Linked DNA regions of Saccharomyces cerevisiae S288C. Changing the gene in region 2 together with the main gene of any one other region gives a genetic interaction. Each region holds a gene or a part of one and is shown on either strand. Other genes may lie near its edges.

Evidence for each region.
Region 1: mutations in YSR3 (region 2) and AIM6 together harm fitness more than expected from each alone (negative genetic interaction), as found in Saccharomyces cerevisiae (2 studies listed by BioGRID).
Region 3: mutations in YSR3 (region 2) and CPR7 together harm fitness more than expected from each alone (negative genetic interaction), as found in Saccharomyces cerevisiae (2 studies listed by BioGRID).
Region 4: mutations in YSR3 (region 2) and WHI4 together harm fitness more than expected from each alone (negative genetic interaction), as found in Saccharomyces cerevisiae (2 studies listed by BioGRID).

Annotation. Positions count from the first base shown.
Region 1 is NC_001136.10:28,673-32,472, reverse strand, and holds AIM6 (Aim6p), read right to left. Parts: upstream 1,817-3,800; coding exon 644-1,816; downstream 1-643. Other genes in the region: PHO13 (4-nitrophenylphosphatase), read right to left, coding at 1-177; GUD1 (guanine deaminase), read left to right, coding at 2,019-3,488; ADY3 (Ady3p), read left to right, coding at 3,698-3,800.
Region 2 is NC_001143.9:533,272-536,851, forward strand, and holds YSR3 (sphinganine kinase YSR3), read right to left. Parts: upstream 2,011-3,580; coding exon 796-2,010; downstream 1-795. Other genes in the region: MRS4 (Fe(2+) transporter), read right to left, coding at 1-193; DYN1 (dynein heavy chain), read right to left, coding at 2,376-3,580. UniProt on the Saccharomyces cerevisiae protein: Dihydrosphingosine 1-phosphate phosphatase required for efficient ceramide synthesis from exogenous sphingoid bases. Involved in endocytosis and calcium-mediated signaling.
Region 3 is NC_001142.9:489,278-492,975, reverse strand, and holds CPR7 (peptidylprolyl isomerase CPR7), read right to left. Parts: upstream 1,896-3,698; coding exon 714-1,895; downstream 1-713. Other genes in the region: RAV1 (Rav1p), read left to right, coding at 1-598; Arf family guanine nucleotide exchange factor GEA1, read left to right, coding at 2,164-3,698. UniProt on the Saccharomyces cerevisiae protein: PPIases accelerate the folding of proteins. It catalyzes the cis-trans isomerization of proline imidic peptide bonds in oligopeptides. Plays a major role in negative regulation of the heat shock transcription factor (HSF).
Region 4 is NC_001136.10:53,888-58,315, forward strand, and holds WHI4 (Whi4p), read right to left. Parts: upstream 2,460-4,428; coding exon 510-2,459; downstream 1-509. Other genes in the region: septin SHS1, read left to right, coding at 1-213; HBT1 (Hbt1p), read right to left, coding at 3,378-4,428. UniProt on the Saccharomyces cerevisiae protein: Has a partially redundant function to WHI3, a dosage-dependent modulator of cell size.

The DNA.
Region 1 (3,800 bases), on a different chromosome or scaffold from region 2:
CAGTTGTTTGCCCAATTGCTTCAAAAGGTTTAGAATTTCCAGGGTGTATGGTAATGCTTGAGAACCTAACCATAATACACCATCACAATCGAACAGAAACGTGTCATATTTGTCCAAGAATTCTTGAGCAATCTCCTTATTGGTTATCTTTATTGGTACACCTTGTTGAGCAGTCATTTTCCCGAGTTGTATATTCTTTGTCAGGGCAAGCTATAAGGCTTTTTTTGTGATTTGGCTCGAGCTTGATATTTATGTCTGCTTGTTATAAACCGATTGCGTCAATTACAATTGAAAAATTCACTAAAACGGAAAGAACATTCACCGAAAAAAAGAAAAACCGGAAAGTTAATAGATAAGGGACGTCATTAATATACGATTAAGTAAATACTGAAAACGTGCTGGAGAATAGTAAAGATGTCACATCACCATCTTCAACGTCTTCCTCTACAAAACTTGAGTTGATAAAGAAGCATAGTATACACAAACGTATGTATCTCTTCAGAGAACTATATCCTGTGAGGGAAGATGAGACCATTCCCCATTATACTTCTTGAACGGGTAGTTGCGTCGAACAATCTACTTCCTATTCATATCTAAATGTTTATATAAATATATGGCTTTTCTTATCCACAGCTCAAGCCACTTATATCAATGACGATGCCATGAATAAATTGTCCAGGTTAAGTAAATCGGAACCCAAGTCATGAATAATTTGGCGAGAAATAGTTTCCACCAGGTTAGCTGGCCAGGTTGGGGCTCCCCAAATTCTTGTTTTAAGTTTCAATGCGTGAGCACCATCAATTATGCTTTTAGCACAACTGATCTCATTCGAATCCATACGACCTCTTAGCGATACTTTCCAATGATCAGAACCACAATGTTTCATTAATTGGCTGAACGAAACCGTCGCAGCTACAGATAGCTTTGAGTATTTGGGCTCCAAACTTAACAACGGCGCATCTAGAAATGCAAACCTTTGACTTGACTCAAAATAGCCGTTATCATTTCCATTGTCTAAAATATCCAATGACGTCGGGTAGTTGCCCGTTAGTATCACAGTAACAGGTCTCCAAATAATTTCATCCTTCTTCATATCGTAATATGTCAAATATCCAGAATCAATCAGAGATTTGAAATATTGCTCCATCAGCAGTTTATAAGTTAGTTCGTTATCATCCGACTTGAAATCAATATAAAAGAAGAGTGAAGTTTCTGGAGAGTTGAAAAATACACCATTTTTGCGATCGGCGTCTGAATCTTGGCAATTCACCTCGTCTAAAATCTCCAAGAGGGGGCCAGTGTATAGCTTGTCTAATGTCAATTCAACTGGGTCCAAATACGCTTCATTATGACCCACAGCTAGGATCTTTTCATCTATATTCCACACGTCGGCTTCAGTACTACTAGCACCATAGGCCAGACCTTCAAAAAGCGGAAGTTTCCTCCAGTAGTCATTATGGGAGTGAACTGGCATTGGGTTAACATCTTTGTTCAACTTTGCGATAGCAGAGTCTACTGGTAAACACTTTTTTGAACTGGCACGACGTAAGATATATTCTTTGAATACATCATAATATAAAGAAACGTGTTTGTGACGATACTTTTCCTCTGAAAAACTTAGAAATGGCAAGTTTTCCTGGAAAAATTCTAAAAGATGTTGACCGGTCAACCCAAAGTTATCAATATTCGATATTTTCTGGTCCTTTAACTTTTCCCAATCAGTTAATGAAGGATTTCTTCCCCTACTGGAAAACAAAGCACAGACAGCAATAACGTATCCAATAAGAATAGTTAGACACCCTTTCAGTCCTAACATCGCTTAACTAAACCGAGGTACTTATCTTTGTTGGTCTTATCTCGAGTCATATTTTATGCCTATCCGGCGATTTATCACTCGGAAGTTTGGATAGTTTCGGATTATAAAAGGAGACAAGATAAGGATTTTAAAACAGGCCATTGGCAAAAGAACAACATTTTATTGAATGAATATATGAATTGGGCTGTCCTTTGAAGAGGATATGACAAAAAGTGATTTATTATTTGATAAATTCAACGACAAACATGGAAAGTTTCTAGTTTTTTTTGGTACCTTTGTAGATACCCCTAAATTAGGAGAGCTGAGAATCAGAGAGAAAACATCTGTTGGAGTTCTCAACGGAATCATCAGGTTTGTGAACAGAAATTCACTCGATCCTGTCAAAGATTGTTTAGATCACGATAGTAGCTTATCACCAGAGGATGTCACGGTGGTTGACATAATTGGAAAAGACAAGACTCGAAATAACAGCTTTTATTTTCCAGGTTTTGTTGACACGCATAACCATGTCTCGCAATATCCAAATGTCGGCGTATTTGGGAATTCTACCCTGCTGGATTGGCTAGAGAAGTATACCTTCCCCATAGAAGCCGCACTAGCAAACGAAAATATTGCGAGAGAAGTTTACAATAAGGTAATAAGTAAGACGCTTTCTCACGGTACAACGACTGTGGCTTACTATAATACCATTGATCTCAAGTCCACTAAGCTCTTGGCTCAACTAAGCTCCTTATTGGGGCAGCGTGTTCTTGTTGGAAAAGTGTGCATGGATACCAATGGTCCCGAGTATTATATTGAAGATACTAAAACTTCCTTTGAAAGCACTGTGAAAGTTGTTAAGTACATACGGGAAACCATTTGTGATCCCCTCGTAAATCCTATAGTGACACCAAGGTTCGCGCCCTCTTGTTCTAGAGAACTAATGCAACAGTTGTCCAAGCTAGTCAAGGATGAAAACATACACGTTCAAACCCACTTGTCGGAAAATAAGGAGGAGATACAGTGGGTTCAAGATTTATTTCCCGAATGTGAGAGCTATACTGATGTATACGACAAATATGGGCTGCTCACAGAAAAAACAGTATTGGCACATTGTATTCATCTAACAGATGCCGAAGCGCGTGTGATTAAACAGCGTCGCTGTGGTATATCTCATTGTCCCATTTCCAACTCCTCTCTGACTTCTGGAGAGTGTAGGGTTCGATGGTTGCTGGACCAGGGCATAAAGGTTGGTCTAGGCACCGACGTTTCAGCCGGTCATTCTTGTAGCATACTCACCACCGGAAGGCAGGCCTTTGCAGTTTCAAGGCATTTGGCAATGAGAGAAACTGATCATGCAAAACTTTCAGTCTCCGAGTGCCTATTTCTTGCTACAATGGGCGGAGCACAAGTCTTGCGTATGGATGAGACCTTGGGGACTTTTGACGTCGGTAAGCAGTTTGACGCTCAAATGATCGATACCAATGCTCCCGGCTCAAACGTGGATATGTTTCATTGGCAGCTAAAGGAGAAGGATCAAATGCAAGAGCAAGAGCAAGAGCAAGGGCAAGACCCTTATAAGAACCCACCGCTGCTTACTAATGAAGACATAATCGCAAAATGGTTCTTTAACGGTGATGATCGCAACACCACTAAAGTTTGGGTAGCCGGCCAGCAAGTCTACCAGATTTAGTTGTATATGTTTAGAGGGCTACTATATCTTGTTCCAAGTATTAATGAGTAATTTGAGTATATGTACAAATTTCTTTTGCGTATCGCGCTTTAGCCGCCCATTGTACAATATTAAGATTAGGAACACAAAGAGATTTGCCAGTGAAAGAATTGCAAAACTCGGTTTGGGATTTTGAATGGGATAGTTGAATACAACAAACTTCTCCGAATATGAATCATTGGTTAGCATTTTTGAATAAGCCTGAATCCCTAAAGGAACAAAACTCGGATTGCGACCAGCAGGGGGAGATGAGACATGTTACTGATGGCACTT
Region 2 (3,580 bases):
TCATCCCTGTAGAGGCAGCTTTATTCAATCCTGCAGCCTGCACTCGGGTTTTCAGAGCATCTATTGGAAACATCAAAGAATGCTCCATTATACCTGCAAATGCTCCTGCCAGTAACTGGGAATGTAGCGGAGCATGTGATGGAAGAGCTTCGTAGTCGATTTCCTCAGCTATTGACAGTTCTGAAGTATTCATAATATTAACTGATATTTCGGTTGAGTTTTTTACTTCTTCACTTTGTACTTCTCACGAAAGTCTTCGTCAATAAACCTCTGATAAAGTGAAAATTCTATGAGATTCCAATAAAACCTCCAAATATCTTTATATACAGCTTACTACTTAGATAAGATGACGTTCGCCAATGGTAGGCAAAAGATAGCAGGGTGTTCTTGCCTTTCAGTCTTCGCCATGCTCTCATTCAAGAAAGGGTGCCAAAATACCGAAAAGAGACACGATCGGGGGTGTCAAAGTAGCGATTCCTGTGGGTTAAAAGAGGGTGAACCACGGCAAACATGCATGTGTAAAACCCAAAACGCCGATCTAGGGCCTGCGACGCATGGTACGAACATCCTGAAGGTATATAAAAGAGCTAAAGTCTTGACTCATGCCTGAAATCTTGATTTTTCATTGTTATATCCTCTCTATACATTAGTAAGCACCATAGATGGGCTGGCTATCAAAAGCGAGAAAAAAAAAATGCTGAATTCCAAATATGTACTCATCGGGGTGAATTTCAATGATGTGTTATGTAGATACAATATATATGTATAAGTCACTAAATGCATACATACGAGAGTCTACCTTAAGTTTGTCCAAGTGAAAAAAACTGGGCATAGCAAAAAGACGGTTGTAGGTATACCTGCGTATATGAGAAACCTTCCGACGATTTCCACTTTGGAAACACCGCTGTACAATAAACACTCTTCTTCTTCACTTGTCTCGTTATGGAAATGAACCTTTTCGCTTCTATCATCGTGAAATCTGAGTAGTTTAATTAACAGCGTGTAGACAGCTGTCTTGCTAATGACGTCTTTCCAAACAATCACAGAAGCGACACCTACCAGAGGCCTCAAGAACACCTTAGAACCACATGATGCGTACCTACTACATACAAGGTTCCATCCGTATCTTTCGGTTAACCAGTCGCTGCAATCCAGCCCACTGACTACGCCAATGAACGCTACGCTATCTTCGAAACAAGGACATTCATCAATGGGCCTGACGTGGTTAAACAGAATAAACAAGCCCCATGCTACACTCAAAAGGGGAAACCAGAGATGTTCACCAATCTGGAAATTTCGTAAAGCATGCACCACCCAGATTCTTATAAAAAAACAGATAGCTCCAACTGCGGCGCCGCTAAATAAATCCAGCATACCATGCATACCGCAGTAAACTCTACCAAAAACCAGGGTTAAGTAGTAAAATATCACCAGACTCAGTAAAAGAAGCTTTGTTGGCCATACCAGTGTGTCAGATAAACATATTCTCCAAAAGAATAATAGACTTACCGCAGTAGCGTTAGCAGAATGTGAACTGGGTGCACCATATTCTTTCGTAGTGTATTCACTTAGTGTGATTCTGTCAACTGGCGGTGATTTTGGCCTTGGTAGGCACCAATAATCCTTTAAGTAGCCACTCAAATAAATTGAATAACCAAGAACGTAGATCATGTCCCGTGTTAAATCGCGGTATCCAAGCCACACAGGCATGGGAAGCACGATAACATAAAACATGTGGGAACCCATAAGCGAAGTGTATTTGAAATAAACGTCTCTAAAAGGCGTTCTGTGCTTTTTTTGTAAAGAATGTACGAAATCTGATTGGTTGTCTGTGAATCTAGTTAGATACTGCCTTGTTTGAAACCTTAGCCACGACATCTGGCTCTCAAAATGCTCCGCTGGATGATTACCGGGATCTGCCAATAGGTGTTTGCCGCCGGAAGGAGCCATCTGAACCTTAATGGTGTCCTCGGTAACACCCAATTCAGTAACCGTCTGAATAATGGTCATAATTAAATTCTTTTACAGGCTTGCTATTTTGTATATTTTTTTGAAGACTACCACTGCCTAACTTCTTTTTGTCATGTTATCAATTCAACTAGATGTTGAGAAGGAAGCCAAGGCAAGGCTGATAAAAACTAAGAAAATAAGGAAAAATCATTATGTTATATAACATGAATTCTAGACGTACGTGCTCGTAGTTAGGAAGTATCTAAATAAGAGTCCCCACGTTACTTTAATTAGAAGCACGCCATCTTCCTACAACCGATTTTTTTGGATTGTAGATATCAGAGTCTCATCAAACAAGAGGAACCCAGAATAGGCACGTCCACTGAGAAAACCGCGGACAAGCAAGACACGCGTACCTGAAAAGGCTACATTTCTTGAAGAAGTTGTTCAGTTGAGCTAGCCACCTCTTTAGCCTGAAGACGTTCGTAATTCAAAATAGATTCCCTTGGCAATTGAAGCCATGAACTGAGTGAATCTGCAGGCTCAATCGTATTAGACAGTATGGCAGTAAGCCTTGCCCGTTCCTCTTCTTCACTTTGTTGAAGAAGAGGCTGTGGGATTCGTACCCCAGGAACGATCTGCAAATTGTCCGAGCCGCAGAATACGTGCGCACAAAGTTTAGCGACCACTTCAAGGTCTTTCTCTTCATCGATCTTTCCTCCGTATACGATCGTAGCTATGTGATCTCGCACTTGTGCCCAAGGAATGTTGTTGGTAGAATTGGTGGCTAATACATTCTCTAAATACACTGAGGCAAATTGAAAGTCGCAATCATTAAAGTAATACTTCTTGGAAAACCCATGAGGAACCAATCGGGTCCTGGCAGTGATCAAGGCATGAAACCATGACAATAGGAAGGTACAATACACGCTCCATACTCCTGAAATTTTACCAGTGAAAAATTGAGAACCCCATAGATCTTTGACGGTATCTAGTATACCTGGGATATCCTCATACACAAATCTATCAGTTCTTTGTAGCAATGGGGCAGGTAGTTTATCACCAGTCAAATGGCATGTCATGAACATTTTGAATTTCTCATGTTCTTCTGCCGCCTTTGTCTCCTCAACATGCTTGTGCAGATACGTTTTCACCCATGATAGCGACATTTGTATGTTTTGTAATAATATCCAACCACCTTCTATCTTAGATTTTGATATTTCCTCTTGAGCATAGTTTAGATTTTCTATAGACCCTAGCGGGATGATTTTTAACGATTCCTTCGAGGCTTTCGCCAATTCGATTAATTTGAATGTGCCATCAACATCTCGCTCGCTTGCCATTGTAAAATAGTTGTTCTCGGAATTGGCTACCACATCCGCGATATTCCACTCATCAACAAAAAACTCATTTTTGAACCAGTTCAACGCAGATATATACGATTTGGTTGTAACATAGTCCCATAAGTACCGCAAATCATTATTTGTATCTACGGTTAGTTTTGGTACGCCATCGCTACTTTCAGAGAGAACTCCAATCATAGTTAGAACTGCCTCTTTATATTGTTCACTTTCAATGTCGAATTTATACAAACAAAACATCGTCATAGCCATAATCATTTTAAATTTTT
Region 3 (3,698 bases), on a different chromosome or scaffold from region 2:
ATCTCTAAATGTTGAAGCAAAAATCGAGTGTACTCTGATCTTAAGAGTTACTGATATTCTTTGCCGAATGGGTTGCAATTACCTGGCGGTTTCACTTGTGAAGAATTGGAAGTTCATCGAAAGAAATTCCATACCAGTTCAGAAGCTATTAAAGAGCCCCACCAAGGATAGAGCATATTCTGCTATTGGCGCCATGGCGTCTGAACCAATTTCTACTGCTAGGATGAGGCCCAGTCTTTTTGATAAGTTTGGCTCGCCAAGTGCTTCAGATATAGAGTCACCTAATCCAAAGTTACCAAATAGCTTATTAGACGACTTCTTGCAACCACCACCAAATAGCACTTCTTCAAATTCCCTCGCTCAAAGTTCTTCTTCTGCACCTAGAAGTATACTGGATGAGTTCGTCTCTCCTTCATATTCTCAGCATAAAGAGAATTTAACTCCAAAAGCGCCAAACGACTCTGTGGGTGAAACAGACAACTCAGAAAATAGGAAAGATAAACTCTCTAAGGACATATTAGATGATCTTTCATCACAAAAGCCACAGAAGCCAAAAAAATCTGCTATTACCAAGAACTTACTAGATGACTTTGTATGATATCATATTTTTTATCAAATAAATGGATTTATAAATAAAAATAATTACATCTTATTAATGTAGTGTTTTCATATTGGGTTATTTAATCTCAAATTTCAGCCTTACAAGTAACTAATTAGGAGAAAAACTTTGATATATTCTTTCTTGTCTTTTCCTTATTCTCTTCTATGAGCCTATTGACATATTCTATTCTTTGTTCTATAACTTCGTCATCGGGATTTTTCTCTTTACAAAAAATATAATCTTGTAAAGCTTCGTCTAGTCTCTTTTTTTTTAAGTAACTGTTACCTCTTCTATAATAAGCCTTTGCTTGATCTCTGTTAGGAACGTTATCCATCTCCAATAAATACGTAGCATACATGATAGCATCATCGTATCTTTCCAGATTAAAGAGCACCAAAGATAAATTTAGGTAAATTTTCATCTTTAGGTTAATAAATTGGATGTTTCTTTCTTTGTCTACGTCGGGTTCAGGCATGTATTCATTGATATAATTTAAAGATTTTCTGTATTTGAAAAAGGCATTAGAGTAATCCTTTTTCTTAAATAAGAGCGTCCCAGATTCTTTGATTATATTAGCAGCCTCAAGAGCCTTACCAAAATCATCGTCACCGAAATGTGTATCATCGTCTGGATATTCTTCGTATACGTCACCGCCAATTTGGTCATTAGAAGCGTTGTAAAGCGGGACACCCATAGTTTTTTCCCACACTCCACAGTCGCTGATTCTAACGTCTGATTCAGGGACTCCATCAGAATCTACCCTGCAGTTTTCTATAGTGCGAACCACTGATTTTCCATGAACCACCTGCCCAAAAATAGAATGCTTGCCGTTCAAATGAGGTGCGGCGTATGTAGTTATGAAAAACTGGGAATTGTTCGTATTTGGAGAACCTAAATTGGCCATACCTAAGGTAAAGGGTTCTACAAACTCTCCCAAGTTTTCGTCTTCAAAATTCCCGTAACAGAAAGATTCATCATCGGTTTTCACTTCCTCTTTATCAGCGTAAATTGAACATCCACCTTTTCCAACAGACGATGAAGAGGAATCCTTTTGTGTCCCAAAGACAATGTCACCTGCCTGGATCATAAAATTCTTAACGACTCTATGAAAACCATTTCCCTTATAGCTCAGGTACTGTTGATCCTTCAAAGGACTCTTAACATCACCAGCGCATAACTTATAAAAATTCTCTGTTGTTTTAGGAGCCTTCTCACGAAAAAGTTTGCAGACAATACGACCAATTGGTTTTTTATCAATGGAGATGTCTAAATATACAAGGGGATCTTGAATCATCGCGTTGGATGTAGGTTGTTGCTGCCGAACACCTTTCAGAATAACGACTTTTTTTTTCTTTGCAGTTTCTCATTTTTATGATTTTCTAATCACTTCATCACTCAGCGCATTGGAAAAAAAACAATATATAGATCTCTTTGTTTACATGTTGGAACTAAGACCTTTTAATATGGATACTTTACACAGAGAATTGAACCATCTTAGTTAAGTTAATTCGCAACTTTGGTAAGAAGCGCCCAGGTTTAACTAATACGGCTTCATATACAAAATGCACGACGTGCCAATGGAAACTGTTTTGGCCGTGAACCCAGCTACGATGATTGTCAAAGAGTGCATCAATCTTTGTTCTGCCATGAACAAGCAGTCCAGAGATAAATCACAAACAAGTGTGGCCGCGTTGCTGGGCGGAGGTAGTGATATATTCTTGAGTCAAAGTGATTCGTTTGTTGACAGCTTCCACAATTTGCCTACTTCTAGCTATCATGATCCTCTGATATCTGGTTTAGTACAGCTGCGGCTAAAAATTAACGACTTGAAGGGTTTAGATTCATTAAACGCCTTGGAACTTTTGAAACCATTTTTAGAAATAGTCAGCGCTAGTTCAGTATCGGGTTATACTACTTCTCTGGCTCTGGACTCGTTGCAGAAAGTTTTTACACTAAAAATCATAAACAAAACATTTAATGATATTCAAATTGCCGTTAGGGAAACCGTTGTTGCGCTTACACATTGTAGATTTGAAGCTTCAAAGCAAATTTCGGACGACTCTGTTTTATTAAAAGTTGTAACATTACTACGCGATATTATAACCTCTTCCTTTGGAGACTATCTCTCCGATACTATAATCTACGATGTTTTACAAACGACACTTTCCTTGGCATGTAATACGCAGAGAAGCGAGGTTTTGAGGAAAACGGCTGAAGTTACAATTGCAGGGATAACCGTTAAACTATTTACAAAGTTGAAGTTACTAGATCCACCTACAAAAACAGAAAAATATATCAATGATGAAAGTTACACCGACAATAATTTGAAGGATGACATTATAGGTACGACTACCTCTGATAACGATTTGAGTAGCACTGATGATGACAGTGCTGTTGCAGACGATAATAAAAATGAGAAGCCAGTCCAACAGGTCATAAGGGAACAGGAAAATGATGAGGAAACGGCTGAGAAAGCCGAAAATGTCGAGCCAAATTACGGAATAACAGTTATAAAGGATTATCTTGGATTATTGTTATCACTGGTTATGCCAGAGAATAGAATGAAGCACACAACTTCGGCCATGAAATTATCTCTACAGTTAATCAATGCAGCCATTGAAATATCCGGTGACAAATTTCCTCTATATCCCCGGTTATTCAGCTTAATTTCTGATCCAATATTTAAAAGTGTTTTATTCATTATACAAAGTTCTACCCAGTATTCTCTTTTGCAAGCAACTTTACAATTATTCACGAGTTTGGTTGTGATATTGGGTGATTATTTGCCTATGCAGATTGAACTGACTTTAAGGAGAATATTCGAAATTCTAGAGGATACCACAATCAGTGGTGACGTTAGTAAGCAAAAACCACCTGCAATCAGGGAATTAATTATTGAACAACTTTCAATACTGTGGATTCACTCTCCCGCTTTCTTTTTGCAACTTTTTGTAAATTTCGATTGTAATTTGGATAGGTCGGATCTTTCGATTGACTTTATAAAAGAGCTAACTAAATTTTCTTTACCAGCGGCGGCCGTTAATACCTCTAACAACATTCCTCCAATTTGCCTAGAAGGTGTACTTTCGCTTATTGA
Region 4 (4,428 bases), on a different chromosome or scaffold from region 2:
TTAGAGGCCCAGTCAGCTAAAGAATTACAAAAAAGAATTCAAGAATTAGAAAGAAAAGCACACGAATTGAAATTGAGGGAAAAACTAATAAATCAGAATAAACTAAACGGTTCATCATCTTCAATCAATTCTCTACAACAGAGCACAAGGAGCCAAATTAAAAAAAATGACACGTATACTGATTTAGCCTCTATTGCATCGGGTAGAGATTGAGTTGTATCTGTACAAAATCCAAAGCTGAGCAAATAAATAAATAAATAAATGTATAAGTTACCGAACGGGGGTATTTTTACTTTTGATCAAAAATTTATGTACCAACTACAAAGTTTCCTCAGCACAGCCTTCAAGAAGGGAACACACATACAAACAGTGTCAAATAATTGTAGGGATAAATTTAAATATGGCATAAACTAAATAAGTAGAGCATGAAAAAACTGCAAAATCCAAAAAGTAAAAACGAAGGTCAGAAAGTAAAGCAAAAGAAAATTAATAAAGCAATACTAAATCTATCATGATTTCCCGTAACTTCCATTAAAGCTGTAACCAGATTTACTCCTACTGTTTGAGCCTCTAACGCCTAATGGATTTTTAGAGAAGCTCAACCTGATACCTCCTTTGTTGTTGAGGGAAGGGCGGGGGTGAGGTAGTTGACTACCATATAATTCTGCCAATGCTCTAGTGGCAAAGCTAACATCCTCAAATTCTACAAAACAAATTGGACCATGGCCATGACCGTTGCCATGACCGTGAGAGTTCATTTTATTCCTGAAGGATAATCTACGAAAACCTTGCTGATTAGAAAACAATTGCCTTAATTCTTGTTCCGTGGCATCCGGAGGTAGATTACCCACATAAAGAGTATTACAAGGAGGATTTTGGTCCGCGGGATTGGCTGGTGGTGGCACCTTGGCTAGTAGTGATAGGTCAGCCTGTGAAATAGTTGTGGAACCTGCCACATTTGTTTCGTTATTTTTCGAAAATGCAGAGGCAGAAGCTGTAGAAGAACATTCTTTCTGTCGTGATATTGTACTGGTGTCTTGTTCACTCACTAAAAAGCCTTGATTCACCTTTTGGTTGTTGAATATTGAAGACCCGTTAGGAGCAGAAGATTGTGGGTGGCCATTTTCCGTTTGGAGATTCAGGTCCAAATTGGAAGGAACATTCGAAACGCTCTGCTGAATACTTTGTGTCTTAGTTGAAGCATTAATTTGGTTCAATAAGTGATAATGCGGTAGAGAAGTCGCGGAATGTATTACTCCTGAATTGTTCAGATTAGGTTGTGATTGAATATGTGGAACATCCTGGCTAATTGAATGGTGGGATGGAGGCAACAGATTAGACTGATGATTTTCTTGGCTAGATAATTGAAAAAGAGGAATATTAGCAGTTGAGGAAGCATTCCACTCCATCACAGGCGTAGATGACATCGGAGGCTCTTGTAAAGATGCACCAAATGAAGAATTACCAACATCATTAACTAATTCATCACCATTCCAAATACTTTCATTTATTTCATCCTTTTCTAGTAGCAAAAGTGACTTGCCAGCGTCCTTCTGAGGTGGCATTCCTGCTGGAACTGGTGTGGTGGTTACGTTTGATAAATCATGTTGTGAGATGCTATTTCGTAGAAAGGGTACGGATTCTTTTCTTTGAGAGATTGTTTCCAATCCGAATGGGTCATTGAATGAGAAACGGAGGGATCTCTCTGAAAGTAATGAAGGCCTTGGCTTGGCCGCTGAAGGCCCTAATGGAGAGGAACTAGTTTTTCCATATGATATAGTATTAAAACTTTGATTTTGAATTTCATTTTGCGCACTGGACGACAATTGGTAATTCTTTGGAGAACTATTTGTAGTGCCAGATGAAACATGTTCTTGAAAACTCACTGGAAGCTGCGTTTGTTCATTTACTACGTCAATGTGAGACCTAAAGGGGAAACTAGGCCCAAAAATCTCAGACTTCGAGTTTAATATATTAGCATAATGGGTTACTAAAGAAAGGGATCCAAATTTGACCACAACGACTTTTTCATTGTCATTAAAGGGTTCTCTATCATCCCTTTTTAGTTCTATACTTGACACCCCAGTTGCTAGTGAAAATATACAATAACACTCTCTTAGTGTAATGTCTTTTGGCAAATTCCTCAGCAAAAGACAGTAGGGGCCAACATCCACATCATGTGGGGCTAAAGAATTGACGTCATTCCCGTTCCCTTTCCCCGTGGACATGGTCAAATTATGAAGCATAGAAGTCATAATAGGTTCTTTTGCAAAACCTTGCGGGTTCTCTCTTTTAATGTTAGTCTCGCTGTTGCTCCTAACTGCGGAAAAACTATATGCAGTTGGCATGGGATATGTTGCCTCCTTTGATAATGGAACGGTTTCTGAACTAGAACTAAATGCCCTTTCTATAAGAAATTTGGATTCGTTTAAATTCGTCTGATTATGCACTAATGACATTGTTAATTGAGAAACCTTAAGCGTTATTTTTCAGCGTAGATGTGGCAACTAAGGTTCCTGTTTTCAAAAACCCTGCTTTTTTGAAAAATGCTCGAAAAATAAAGAAAGAAGTCAGTCCCTTGTTTTAGCAAAGTGATAATTTGTGAAATATGACACAAGTAGAAGATAAACCTTTACACGCAGAAATAACAGCGGATTATATTTTGATTCTTAGATTTCCTAATTTCGTGAACTTTTAACTAAGAAGGAAAAAACAATTGAGATGAGATCCAAATGGGAGGAGTTTTGAAACAATTGTTTGCTATTATTTCAATGATTTAGTGTTGCCACCAGATGGGTCTATTTTCTGTAAAACTACCGGTTCGAGGCTCCTGCCGTAACCTTAATTGTACTTTTCTATGATTTAATCCAAATAACCATTCCATTCCTCTTTAAGTCTAAGAAACATTAAAAAACAAAAAACACCACGTCCGGGTAATGAAAATATAACGCTGGGTAATGCACGTGTTGATAATTACATCGTTTTTCACTAATATCGTACCAAACGAGATGTTTGCAGAAAGAACAAACCAATATTTTAAATAATCAAAAATCAAATTAGCTATTATTTCTCATTTGGTGATAATAATATATACATACATATATATATATATATATAAATATATAGGTATATATATAAATAACCTAAGACAAGTTAAATGAGTATAAAAAACCTTGAACGTAAATGAAAAAAAAAAAAATACTAGTAAATTGACAACATAAAAGACAAAAATAAATGAAAGAGGAAAGTGGTAATAAAGTGGTTAAAATTTGTTGTAGTTGTAGATAGGAGGAGTCCGCGTAGACAGTTATTCAAATTCAATTGAGGAAGAAAAATAGATTTCAAAGAATACTGGGAATTTGTTAATCGAGAAGTGTTTAAATTTCACTCCTAAATCCAAAAGTACCGCCAGAAATACTTTTTCTCACTCTACCCATGAAACTTTGTTTACCAGCCTGTTCCTCACCTTGCTCGTCGTCATGGTAATCTTGCTCACCCTCATCGGAACCGTACTGATGATGTCTTGGAGTGTGCTCGGCTGAATGAGTAGAATTATTATAGTCGTAGTCAGACCCTTTTGAAGAATTCTGTCTGCTGTGACGGTGATGATTGTGATGATGTTTTGATTTTCCGGAACCCATTGAACCCACCGACACTTTCCTTCCCTGAGAAGTTGTTTCATTATGAATTGAATAGGAAGTGGTTTCTGGGTAGGTGCCCTCAGATGGCTTTTGAGAACTAGAGGTGTTGGTGTCTTTAAATCCGTATGTTGGGACATGTGGGTCAATCAAACTAGGGAAATTACCAACTTCGGCAGCATAAGCGTTTGAGGCGTCGGCACCACCAAGGTCGGTTCTACGTTTGTTCTTCAAATCTACTTCACGCTTGTAGCCCGGTGCGTCTTCCTCTAAAACTTTCGCATTCTTATTGACATCAATATTATCGTCGCTAGAATATTCTTGATTTTGGGAATTGCCGCCAGAACCGTAACTGGCCTTTTGTTCTGATGATGGTTCCTGATCGTGAGTCATTCCAGTAATATCTTGTGATTTGGCATATGTAGGGTCCGCATTTTTAATATTATCGTAAGCAGCTGTTTCAGCATCCCCTGATTTGGAGTATGTAGTGTCTCCAGATCTGGAATTATCAAAGGCAGCAACATTAGCGTTTTCGAGATGAGTGTCTGTATTTTTACTATCATCAAAAGGGTTCGAGCTGAAGGTCTTGGATTTTGCACCCATCCTTCCGGTTGTATCTACGTTTCCAGTAGTACCTGTTTCCGGATTATTGGTGAAATCCTTGGCATCGGATGCAATATCCTGTGTTGTTTTTGCTCTTCTTGGCTCAATTTGGTCAATAAAATTAGAACGCGTTGGAGTTGGGCCTGATTTATTTTTGCTTAAATCAGATAATTTTTTGTTACCAGAA